3 linked regions of the Rattus norvegicus genome follow. The protein of the gene in region 1 purifies or fractionates together with the protein of each later gene. This does not show direct contact. Links are inferred from orthologs where the notes say so. Each region holds a gene or a part of one and is shown in the gene's direction. Other genes may lie near its edges.

Region 1 (4,207 bases):
CCTGCCTGTTTCCCAAATGCTGGGATTAAAGGTGTGTGCCACCATGTCAGACTAGGCCTTTTACTTTCAATCTTCCTGCTTTCTGAGTAGCTAGAACTACAAGCTTGTGCCACCAGGTTCCTTTTGTGCTCAAATATTGAATGGATATACCTTTCCTGCTATCTTAACAGCCTTGCCTTGGTGTCCAGGAACAACCCTGTGGGATGTAGCTGCATTACATTTATGTCCGACACTTACTACCAGTTCTGGAGATTCTTGTGTCCCTTAGTACTGGATCCCTGACCTAACCCTCTGTACCACCAGGCCTTCAAAAACCCATCCCTATCCAGTGTGCAACATCTGTGTGCAAGTTTTTTCTTTCCTTCACACAGTCCTATGCCTCAGTCCTTCAGCTCTGGGTATGTGGTCTGCATGCCCTCCCGGTCCATGGAGTGGTGATAGAGTCCCATAGGTTGCACTGGGTGCCCATTGCAAGTTCCAGACTTAGGAGATGGGCTCACCTTGTACTTAGGTGTCAGTGACAGCCCTGCCTGGGCCTCAGAAAGATGGCGACGCCCAGAAACTTGTGATACACCCTTCTCTCAGGGCCTGTTGGCTGTCCAGTGGGTAAATCGTCTCTATGCTGCCCCCCACCCCGCGCCAGTTCATTTCTGGCCACCTAACAATCCCGCAGCCAGGCTTTCCTGCCCAGAGCCTGAGCCAGAAGCCAAGTAGCTTCTTAGAATGGTCAGTGGAAACCCGGAAAGAACAGGAAGGGAGGGCAGCTCCCCAGCTCCCGGAAGGTGATGCAGAACACCTCTAAACAGGATGGACAGCCGGCCGAAGGCCCACAAGCTGGCACACAGCACATACACCTAGGCGTAGCAGTGAGCCAGGGTGGTGCAAAGAAGTCTGCAAATCTCACCTGAGACGGGTTCCGGTGGGGGGTGAGTGGTGGTTCTTTACTCCCGCGGAGGGCAAAGGGTGCAGGGAAGGTCAGTGATGGGGGGGGTTGATCAAAGCTATAATTAGGCTGCTGTGGGTGACGAATCTTTGCCCTCCGTTCCGGTGGTCTACAGAGGCATGGCTCTGCTGCCTAGTTCACTGTCAGGTAAGAGCTCCCATCCCTATGCTTTCCCCCAAGCTCGCAGCCTGCGGTTGGGAAGAAACCTTGAGCTGCCACCTAAAGCCCAGCCTCTGCCCCGCCCTTTGCTGCCACGCCATCCCAATTGGTTGCTGATCATCCAATTAGAACTCGACATATCGGCCTGCGTTTCCGGCGCGAGGACCGGAAGGGGGCGTCTTGGCGGTTGCGCCTGCGCGCGGTTGTAGGAGTCGCGGTGGCTGGGTGTCAGGTTTGATTGCGCGCGAGGTCTAAGGCTTTCCTGCGGGCGGTGCGCGCGAGCTGTGGAAACGTGGTTTGAGACTGCCTGCCTCCTCGATGATGCCTGAAATTAGGGTCACTCCCTTGGGTGAGTCCGAGTCCTAAGCATCTTCTGCGGCGTCCGGCGAGTCCCTTCATCTCCATAGCCGTCTATCAGCTGTTCATCCCAAGGAGCGGAAGCCGGAGTAGAACGTTTCGGAGCTAGTGCTTCCTTTTCTCTGCCTGGCACGGGGATCGAAGAGCTTTGGGTTTGATTCCTGGTCCTAGAGCTCGATGTGAGTTATGGAGGCCCAGCTTCTCTACCTCGGCTGCTTAAGGTGGTTGTGAGGTGAAATGAATCTTGGACAGGTGTCACCTGTCACTGGTGTTGAATCCAGCACAGAGCTCGTCCTGTATTTGGACTGCTGTTTCAAGACCCCTCTGTATGGGCTTCTTTCTCATTTCTGCCCACCCCACCTCCCACTTCTCCCAGTGCTTCTCATGTTCAGGTTGCTTGCTGTCACCCCTCAGATCAGACTTTGTGTCTGGTCTATCCTGAATTTTTAAAATCATCATAGAGCATATAAATCTAGACGTCTAAAAGCCCCAATAGCATAGTATGGTTGTGAAGGAGAAAACAACCGTTTGAAATCTGGGATTTCAGAACTTCCCAAATGACCCTGCATTTTCCTTCCTACACGTGTGCAGGGTGTTGGAAGCACCTTCTTATTCATATGACCTGGGTCTCTGGGTTATCTTGGCTAGAACTGAGACTCTTCTCAACTCACTGAATCACAGGGCCTTAGCAGAAGCAAGTTCTGACTACCTCCACCATCTAGTCTAAACACTAATTAGCTTACGATATCAAGCACATTCATTGATCTGGCTCCCCAACGCCTGCCCCCACTGGGAAAGTTTTGTTTTCTGCCACAGTTCTGAACTTTTGGGCACAGTTATTCAATCTCCATGTAATGCACTCAGTGTCTAATTGTCTCGTCCCCCTACGGTGAATTCTGCTCCATGCAGAAATGTAGCATCCTTTGCTTTCTTGTCAGTTTTGTTTTCTCTTCGTCATTTTTCCCCTGGAGTTGTAAGTCTCTTTGGGAAGAACATTTGCTAGTGCCCAAGAACTGGGCTTTGTAATTCAAAAATGTACACTTTGGCACCATTCTTGGTAGTCCTGTGGTTATGGGTGCCTGTGATGTGAGGTAACCCTTGTAAAGGCGCAGCCATTCCCTGTCTATAAATGCTTTAAGGGCCTCAGGTCCTAGCACAGCTTCAGGGCTAAAGGTACCATGGGGAAGGATACTAAAAGCTTTCTCTCTGGGAGCACACATCTTGAGGATATAGGAGCAGGCCCGCAGAAGACTCTGAGGCCGACGGCTACTCCACCTCATTGTGGCTGGCTTCATAAGGAAAGCAGACTGGGCCATGGCTGGTCACCATGATGTTTGTGTACTGAAGACAGTGGTTGGTGCCTGCAGTGGGCAGGTGGAAACTATAGGATCCATGATGGCAACAAGGCTGTGTTGTTTTCAGACTGCTGTTGAGGCTTGGGCTGTGTCTCTCCTTCTGGATCCAGATCCCAGGAGAGATAACAGATACTAAATGGGGGAGATAGCTGTCTCCCGTGTGGTCAGTATCTTGGGCTGAACAGCTGGGGTGTCTGCTTCATCATCCCGAGCATGGAAGGAGCCCCCATTGAGGCTGAGCTAGGGGTTCAGTGATATGGGGTCTGTGCTGCCCACTGACCAAAGTGGGCTATCTGCGTTGCAGTTATTGGTCAGTCATGTTTCTTTATGGCTGGCCTAAGGCTACATGATTGTGGCACCGTTCAACACTAGAACTCAGGAGCCAGGCCTCAGCCTCTTCAGAAGAAATCTCAGGGGAGGGAACCTCACTGGCTTGCAGCCCCAGTAGATGGTCAGGAGTAATTTGTCTAAGGCCTGGGGAAACAGCAGTGGTGTTCTACAGTGCACTGGCCTGTTTCTGTTCAGTGTGTTGGGAACCACAGCCAGTTGGAGATGTGCGGTAAAAGCCTGGTGAGGGGAGGGCATGTGGCCCTAGCACAGCACCTTGTCTCCCCGTGGTGCATTCCCCTAACCTGCATGTGAAGGCAGTAAGTGGGTGGTGTAGGTCAGCCCTAGCAGTAGTGAGGGAAGGAAACTTGGGGAAAAGAGGGAGGAGCTGAGGCCTTGTTTCTCACTTGCCCTTCTCTTTGTGTAGGGGCTGGCCAGGATGTAGGCCGCAGCTGTATCTTAGTCTCCATTTCGGGCAAGAATGTCATGTTGGACTGTGGGATGCACATGGGCTACAATGATGACGTGAGTACTGCGGATGGGTGGTCCAGAGGGCAGCGATAGTCCATCGATAGTCATGTTCTTTCTGTCCAGCCACGTGAATCCTGTGGTCTTAGGGGCTAAACGAGGCAGTAGGAGCATGCCTGGACAGCTATACCCATGCAGAGTGGGGATGTGTGGCCTTGAACACAGCACTTAAAAATTAGGGTCCAGCTGAGATAGGCCTCTTAAGGATTCTTGAGGCTGGTCATGATTAGACCCTTTGGGCTTAGGTAATTGCTCAGTAGTTTGTGAGGCCAGCTAGTCACTTGGCCTTTCCGTGAGGTTATAAACAGGCAGTGGCCTAGGTGACGCTCACCAATGTAGGGGTTCTCTGACCCTTTGCTGGGGTCACTCCCTGGGGTGCACCAGTCTCACTTTCAGAAGACCCTGGGTAGCCTGAGGCATTCCAACTTTTCTCTTGTCTCCTCCTCAGAGGCGCTTTCCTGACTTTTCTTACATCACCCAGAGTGGCCGTCTGACTGACTTTCTGGACTGTGTAATCATCAGGTAGGTTTGCTGTGGT
Region 2 (3,646 bases), on another chromosome or scaffold:
TAAGTAGTGCAAGATCCAAACCTAGATGGTAATTGAGACTACAGTGGTAGATCTGGCTCCTATTTTTCCAGCGCTTATCATCACTCCAATTAAATGCCTACGGCTAACAGACAGTGTAAACTGGCCATTAAGTCTGGTGTTTTACTTGATAGATACCATAGTGTGGGGTGTTAGAACTATATCATTGGAACTTTGGTAAAAGTGACCTAGCATGGGATTAAGCCTCATAAAGAAGAAAGTGTATGTATTACAAGAGCTTTATTATTAGAAAAAAGTAGAGGAGTTATAGAGTAAATGTTCATCTCTATTAAAGACAGGGAGCTGGAATATTGCGAAAGGATGCCCCTGCGTCTCCTGGGTTGTAGGTGCGGAAGGTGAAGTGGGAGTAGGAAGTTCTTTGAGGTCAGATATTTGGTAGATGACACTTGCATAGACATTGGTGCTATAGAACTTAGTCACACTGGAGCATGCTGAGGATTACCTGGAGTCCTTGTTAAATTTGTTATCATGCAAATCAAGACTGGGACACAAAGGAAGCATTGGAGAGGCTCTCCTGAGGCTGACTCCACATTGAGTTGTAAGAATCCCCTAGAATATCAGGAGGGGCTTAAGAATGAGTGTACAGTGAAGGAGGTGGCAGATGCATGTGCACTGATCTCAGGATGAAGATGGTGATGAAGGGATTGGGTAAGTGACAGGGTTGCTCGAAAGTGCATGAGACCTTTTTTTTTTTTAAGAATTAAATATGAGAGATTTTAAAATTACATTTAAGAGGTGGAAGAATCAGTAACTGTCTCACTTTTACACTCATGAAGAAGCAATTTGTACTCCATGTTTGAAAAGAAGGGCAGTGGTTTGTTTTATTTTTTAAATAGGAGAGCTTGCTTTTCATTAAAGCAGAACTTATTGTGATTTTTAGCTTTAACCTTAGACAAAGGCTAAGAAACAGTTGTGGAGAATTATCAGTAAAGAAATGTTTACAAACCATGGGGTAGGTAGAATTTAGAAAGTATGATGGAGGGAGATGGGAGAAGTAGAAACCAGGTAGTAGAAACATTGAGATACAGAACCCGAGGGCTTTAGCTGGTGCTCTGGAGGCTGGTGAACAAGTCTTACTTAGGAGTCATGTCTAAGAATCTTATATTTATTGGCAAGCTAGTAAACTTTTGGGTCTACCAGTCTAATGAGCTGAAGTGAGCACCAGATTACTTTGCATGGCTATGGGCTGAAAGGATAGATAGAAGACAGTGTGTTCCGAAATGTGCACTATTTGGTGTTCTTTGCAGAATCTTGAGCAATAAACACCATTCAGCATTTACTTTTCTCTAAAGAGTAACAGGTTTCTAAAGACAGAAGTAGGCTTAAGATGAGGTAGGTAGGACTCTTAAGCAAAAAATAACAATGACAATTTTAGTGGTGTATGTACTGAAAACTTGTTTAATAACATTGCTAAAATAAGGCAGAAAAACAGGCTAAAATTGGCTCTGTTATAAATGTCTTAAGTTTAAATTTTAGTTATTTGTAGTAATTGTGTTTCTTTAGCATTTCTATTCTATACTTTAATACCAGAGCTCACTTTTTGTTCCATTTCTTTGGTTTCATTTCAGAAGCCACTAATGATTCAGTAGTAGACGATGTGGTTGAAAATCATGTTGCCGACCAACTTTCATCAGACATGACAACAAATGCTATGGATACTGAATTTTTAACCTCTCCAGCCAATCTTTTGGAACCATCAACTAATCATACAGAGGCCCTTGGTCATGAACATTTAGGAAACAATGACCTCACTGTTGGTGGATTTTTAGAAAATCATGAGGAGTCAAGAAGTAAAGAACAAAGTGCTGAAGAGAATATACCAGCATCTTCACTCAACAAAGGAAAGAAATTGATGCATTGTAGAAGCCATGAAGAGGTCAACACTGAACTAAAAGCACAAATAATGAAAGAGATCCGAAAACCAGGAAGAAGTATGTATAGAGACAACACTTGTTACTTTGTCTTCAGTTAGGCAAAAACAAGTCAAATTCAGTAAAAGCATACATATTATTCTAGGTTATTCATTAAGGTTTAATTTCATATTCAGCTGGAAAGCACTAAAATAACCTTGGTACTCGAGGTACTCCAGTATGGGCGGTAGACAGCAGGATGCCTGTCTAAAGACTCCGTAGATGCAGCGCGTGTATGTAGTGATGTATGCATGTATGCATGTGACAGGGACCCAGAATCTGACTGTTCTAACTAGGAATTGAAATTTTATAATGGCTGACCCAAACAGATAGGGAGATACCTTTATAGCCCAAATTCAGTTCTCAACAATGTCCTGTGTGTGTGTGTAACGTTCCTCTCTACTCCCTGTCACCATGAATGAATTATGACACTAACCTAGATCATGTGCTTAGGCCCAAACCAGAGTCATTAAGGCTGTCACAAGAGTGCAAGGGAACTGTCTTGGTTACAAGAATTGTGAGTAGTATTGGCATCCATTCAGAATATAGCGGACACGGCTGTGCTAGTAAGAAAGTGGAAGGGCCTTCAGCAAAAAACAAAACAACAGAAAAACCAAGTGCTTGGAAGCTTTTATTTTTGGCGATACATACTTTCATGCACATAGATGTTAACAGTGGTCTGTGAAAGCTTTGAAGAGTGGTAATATTTTTATGTAAAATATTTTTCTATATAGCCAGTTAATTGTTTTTCCTTCTCTTTTTTTTTAAGAATATGAAAGAATCTTCACTTTACTGAAGCATGTGCAAGGCAGTTTACAAACAAGGCTAATATTTTTACAAAATGTCATTAAGGAAGCATCCAGGTAAAGAAACTTGCTTGTTGATAAATAATAATGAAATAATTTTTGGTTTGCATATGTGATTGTTTGTTAAGGCAGTTGGGTATATACTTACATGCATTTGATTCATTGAAATGTGTGGAACTTTTTTCTTCTATTTTTCCTCTTTTAAGCTAATTTAAAGTTGTTTGCCGAAATAGGCGCATAAGTCCTTGAGAAATTATGGACCTTTTCCCTGGTAAATTATTATATTCTTTTAAATTCTTGATTTTTTTTTTCTTCTCCATTGCTTTTTAGTGATGCTGTAAATCTTTAATTTCTTTCACTTTTCTACATTGATAATGATTGAGTGATTAGAAATAACCTGAAAAAGTAATAGTTGAATGCAGTCAATTTTTACATGAGAAGATAAGTAATCAAAGGGGTTGGTTCAATATCCCAGTATTATGTGCCTCGCTGTGTGAACTGATTCAGTATTGTAAAATGTAGCAATGAAGACAATGAATTGGTAAGCATAGTTGTATAACCTTTCAGATAATTACATTTTTTTCTTTCAGGACTTAAGTTTTAATATTATGACAAAACGTATTGCTTATATGATCATCTGAGTGTAAACATAGCCACCCACTAACTGTTTCTCTGTCTTTTCCTTGCTACCCATGAAGGCTTTAGATCAGCAGTTCTCAGCCTCTAGGTCATGACCGTTTTGGGGTTATGTAGAACAGCCCTTTGGTAGCAGTTGCCCAAGACTGTTATAACAGTAGCAAAGCTACAGTTAGGATAGCAATGAAAACAGTTTTATGGTTGGGGGTTACGACAACATAAGGAACTGTATTAAAGGATTGCATCATTAGGAAG
Region 3 (4,296 bases), on another chromosome or scaffold:
ACAAAACAAAACAAAAAAGTGTCTAGGAAGGCACTGTTTGGAGTTCCTCTCCATAGCCTCCCCTGAGCTCCCCAGTTCCTGTATTTACTGTTGATTGATTTCAGATGAAACACATAAAGTACAGTAATAGAAGAAAATGAAGAATGGACAGAGAGATTACAAAGAAAGTACACTCACAAAGAATGAACAATGGTACCACTGTGCCAAACCCATATTGAGGTAGAGTATAAACTGAAGTTTCGAGAACAGACAGACCATTTGGATTAACTCTAATGGGATGGGGCAATGGTATGGCTCTCTTCTGAGGGTTACACCATATAGCTCTGACTGGCCTGGGTATAACTATGTAGAACAAGTTTTTGCTTCCTGAGTTTCAGAATTGAAAGCATGTGCACTTTCACACATGGTTAAGCCTTTTGTTCTTTATCACAAGACCATGTGTTTGCCATTCAGGGCCAGGGATACATGATACTCAAATATGTATCACTGATTACGAATGCCCACTCTCTGTGACAGTGGGTGTTTTTTTCTTTGTTTCCACTCTCTGTGAGGGTGTTTCCTTCTTAATTTTCTCTCTGATTGGAGAGGAAGAGGAAGTAAGGGAGGAATGCAGGTAAGGGGAAGGAGGAAGATGAAGGGAGATCGAAAAAGAAGAAAACAAAAATCAAGAATAAAAGCAGTCACGCTTTAACAACCCTGCTACGTTTTCGTATTTTCATTCTTAAGGAAAAAGGATTGTGATACTTTTATATTAGCCATATAAGAGGTTTGGCGTCCAAGCTCATTATGCGGCAGGGGTCCATCCTCAAATACTTTCGACCTGGCTCATTTCTTACTAGCTACCTAGAAACTCCCCAGCAGGATAAAGTAAGAGGTCGCCTTGGCTGCTCTATTTCTTCAGGGTAAGAGGGGACTTTAACAAAGCCTTTAACACCACCAGCCCTTGAACGCCACCAGCCCCAGGGCCGCGTTCTAGAAACTGAGCAAGGCAAATCTCCCTACTTAGGAGTTCCTTCTTTAGAGACCGATATAACAGCCGCAGAAGCACAACCAGACCAGCCTGTTCTTCATTACGTCACGCACAGTTCCCAAGGCTCGGGTTTGAGTCTTCGAGTCTCCCCAAGAGATCATCATCGCCACCTCCCATTCTCGACTCTCATTGGCAGCTAGACCTGCTTGTTCCCGTGGTTGCCAGCAGCGACGCAGGCGGGCACAATTCTGGTCACTAAGATACTTAACTTCCGCTTCCGCTCGTCCTTCGGAAAAACATCTGATTCATCCGGCCAATGGTGAATGAGAAGTAGGCGGGACTTGGTTGGTTCAGACCAAACAGACGCGAGCTTGTGCGGCAATGGCGGCGGGACAGCCCCTGTAGCGCGGCTCGGGCGCCCCCACGTCCGCTTTGCGTCCTTTCCCCGCACCGCCCCTCCCGAGCCCGGATTCCGCCCGGAGCTCGCTGCTGCCTGATAGAAACGCCAGGGAGTCAAGATGGCAGCTGCCGACGGCGACGATTCGCTCTACCCCATTGCGGTGCTCATAGATGAACTGCGCAATGAGGACGTTCAGGTGCGGGGATCCTTCCGTTAGAGTGTGTGGGGGAGATCGGGGACGGGGATCTTCGCGGAATGTGGGAGCGATGGCTCAGGGTTCTCCGGGAGTGGCGGAAAGCAGCGGCGGCCAATCAGAATTCAGGTCTCATCTTTCTTGATGGCAAGGTTCGATGAGATGGCAGCCTTCATTGGGTGCCCAGCCAAGCGGAGGGCAAGCCTCGAGGGTCCCACCTGAGTGCGCGCGGCAGCCCCGGATCTGGGCCTGGGCGGCCCGAGATTGGGTGGCGGTCTTGCTGCCGCCTTCCAGTCGGTGATTGGCGGCCGACACAGAATGGCTCTCTGTAGGGAATCGGCGGGGGCGCGTGACCTGCTGAGTAGGGGAAGCCCTCAGGGGTCCTGGCGACCTGGGTGGAGTTACCATCGCTTTTAGTGTTTTTGTTTATTTTAACTGGAACGAGTGGGGATTGATAACTGGGACTTCTATCCGTTCTTCACGGACCTCCGCCTTGCATTTTGTGGTATCTCTCCTGAAGGAGGAAGGAGACTGTGAAAGTATGCTCTCCAGAGATTTAACCTAGCCTTATCTGGGATAGGTCACGTGTACACACCCACCTGTTCTCCAACTTTGTCCCAGGCCTGTCTGCCAAGCGAGTTGATAGTTCTGGTTCACGGGAAAAAAATGAGCCAGGACCCCTGAGTTTGCTTTGGTTTTGAAAAAGAGGTCAGACCTCAAGGCCGCATCCTTTCACCTGAGGATGACCTTGTGTGCACATTATTTCATCCCCCCTGGCTTCTGTTTTCTACAAATACCAGCTAATAATAGCCCTGGCTTCCCTGGGTGGCTGAGGAAAAGTAGTAAAATAAAACTGGCTGTTTGTAAAGGCTCTATAAATGTTAGCTATTATTTTGGGGGTGTGGCTATTGTGGCACTACGGCCTTCTACTTTTCCTTTTATATAGAATTGTTCATGCTGCACTTGGTCAATTTCCTGAGCCTGGCCTATCTAAGTTTTATGTATTTATGTCTGACTCTGGTTCCATTATCAGCCAGGCTGGATTTGTACTCCTGGGTCTTGCACTTTTTGCTAATTGATTCAGGCAGTCTGTATTTCTCTTCTATTAAGTGAGAATAATCTGGTTTTGAGCATACTGTATGAATTTATGTGTGTGTGCTCTGTAAACACATGCAAAGGATGAGGGATGTTGTTGGGGTCATAAAGGAGACCAGAACCTGGTATAGTGGTGCATGCTAGCAATCACAGCACTCTGGAGGCAAAAGCAGTGTCAAGGCTAGCCTAGTCTACATAGTGACACTGTATCAACAAAGAAAAAGGCTGGTTGCTATACAAAGGCTAGGTGTGAAACAGGCAAACAGAACTAAATCTGCATATTACCACATGTAAGAAACCAGATCTGTCAATGTTGAAATAGTGAATCAGCAAATGTTTGTTGGACATCAGAGTGTCTCTAGATGTTGACAGCTGGGAGCAAAAGGACAAAACTTGCCTTAAGGGATTTTAGTGAGTAGTGACAGATAAATAGGTATTATGTTGACTATGGAAAATATTAAGAAGAAAATAAGAAATATAGGGTACAATATTAAAGTAAGCATGGGAAAGTCTTGTAGAAATTTGAAATAGTACCTGCTTTTGGAAGGAGCCATTAGGTTCTGGGTAGAGTGTGTATACTAGACAGATGAGTAAGGAATTAAGCCAGTCAAGGGAAGCTCCTTTCAGGATGGAAAGTTTAAAAATTTGGAGAAGATAATTCCAGAAGGAGGGTATGTCTCTCTCTCTCTCTGTGTGTGTGTGTGTGTGTGTGTGTGTGTGTGTGTGTGTGTGTGAATGTATGCAATGGCTATAGTTATAGTTTTTTGCCTCCAAGGATGTTTAGTAATGTCTAGGGGATGGTTTGGTTGTCACAGCTGGAGATTGTTACTGCTTTTAGTAGGTTGAAGTCATGAATGCTGTTAAACATGATTGCAGTATATAAGACATCCTTCATAGGAAACAAAAAAAGTCCCTCTTTTAAAAAAAAAAATTTTTTTTAGTGCTAAGGTTGAAGGAAGCTGTTGGATGAAATGTTCACCCAGAGACAATAAGGAACTTGTTTAGCTAGGTCAGCTGGCCAGTTTTGTCAGAATTCTGTAACAAGTCACTATAAAGTAAATATAAAACAACATAAAGTTTTATTATGTGTTTCCAGAGATCAGAAGTCTGTCAGAGATCTTGCTGGGTGAAGGTGACCTCATGACAGCATAGCCTTGAAATAGGCAATAGGGCTACGCAGCTTTCTGCCACTTTACTCAAACATTCAGAGTGCCATCTTCCTGAAGAAAACAATGCACGTTGTGAACAAAATCAAAACTAGAGTGAGAGAACTGTCCACAAATGGACAGTTTTCCAGCAGCATCCTCACCTGTTAATATTGTTTTTCTAGAAGACCTCAGAGCCTTGTGGGAATAACCAACCCGAGCATACGGGGAACAATCTGTAGATGATACATGCTACTATGACTGGCATGAAGATTATGAATGGGATGGTAGTTTCTCCCTGATACCATCTACTGTCCTTAGGGCTGCTGCTTACTACTCACCAGTTGTCACCCTGGCCCATTATTTCCCACAGTGCAGCTAGGAGAGGAGCACAAGCATGTTAAAAAAAAAAAAAATTGAGGCAAGGATGTTGAAAAACTAGTTTACAAGTCATCAAAATATAGCCGTAGTACCATATCCATCTACAGCCAGC

What was found.
Region 2: the proteins of Ints11 (region 1) and Ints6 purify together in Homo sapiens (affinity purification with mass spectrometry; 3 studies listed by BioGRID, with this or other methods). This does not show direct contact. The link is inferred for Rattus norvegicus from reciprocal best matches to the Homo sapiens genes INTS11 and INTS6.
Region 3: the proteins of Ints11 (region 1) and Ppp2r1a purify together in Homo sapiens (affinity purification with mass spectrometry; 3 studies listed by BioGRID and IntAct, with this or other methods). This does not show direct contact. The link is inferred for Rattus norvegicus from reciprocal best matches to the Homo sapiens genes INTS11 and PPP2R1A.

The regions. Positions count from the first base shown.
Region 1 is NC_086023.1:171,760,092-171,764,298, forward strand, and holds the start of Ints11 (integrator complex subunit 11), read left to right. Parts: upstream 1-1,313; 5' UTR 1,314-1,420; coding exon 1,421-1,451; intron 1,452-1,469; exon of another isoform or gene 1,470-1,638; intron 1,639-3,568; coding exon 3,569-3,666; intron 3,667-4,117; coding exon 4,118-4,191; intron 4,192-4,207.
Region 2 is NC_086033.1:41,112,046-41,115,691, reverse strand, and holds part of Ints6 (integrator complex subunit 6), read left to right. Parts: intron 1-1,607; coding exon 1,608-1,970; intron 1,971-2,718; coding exon 2,719-2,812; intron 2,813-3,646. UniProt on the Homo sapiens protein: Component of the integrator complex, a multiprotein complex that terminates RNA polymerase II (Pol II) transcription in the promoter-proximal region of genes.
Region 3 is NC_086019.1:69,211,711-69,216,006, forward strand, and holds the start of Ppp2r1a (serine/threonine-protein phosphatase 2A 65 kDa regulatory subunit A alpha isoform), read left to right. Parts: upstream 1-1,487; 5' UTR 1,488-1,488; coding exon 1,489-1,566; intron 1,567-4,296. UniProt on the Homo sapiens protein: The PR65 subunit of protein phosphatase 2A serves as a scaffolding molecule to coordinate the assembly of the catalytic subunit and a variable regulatory B subunit.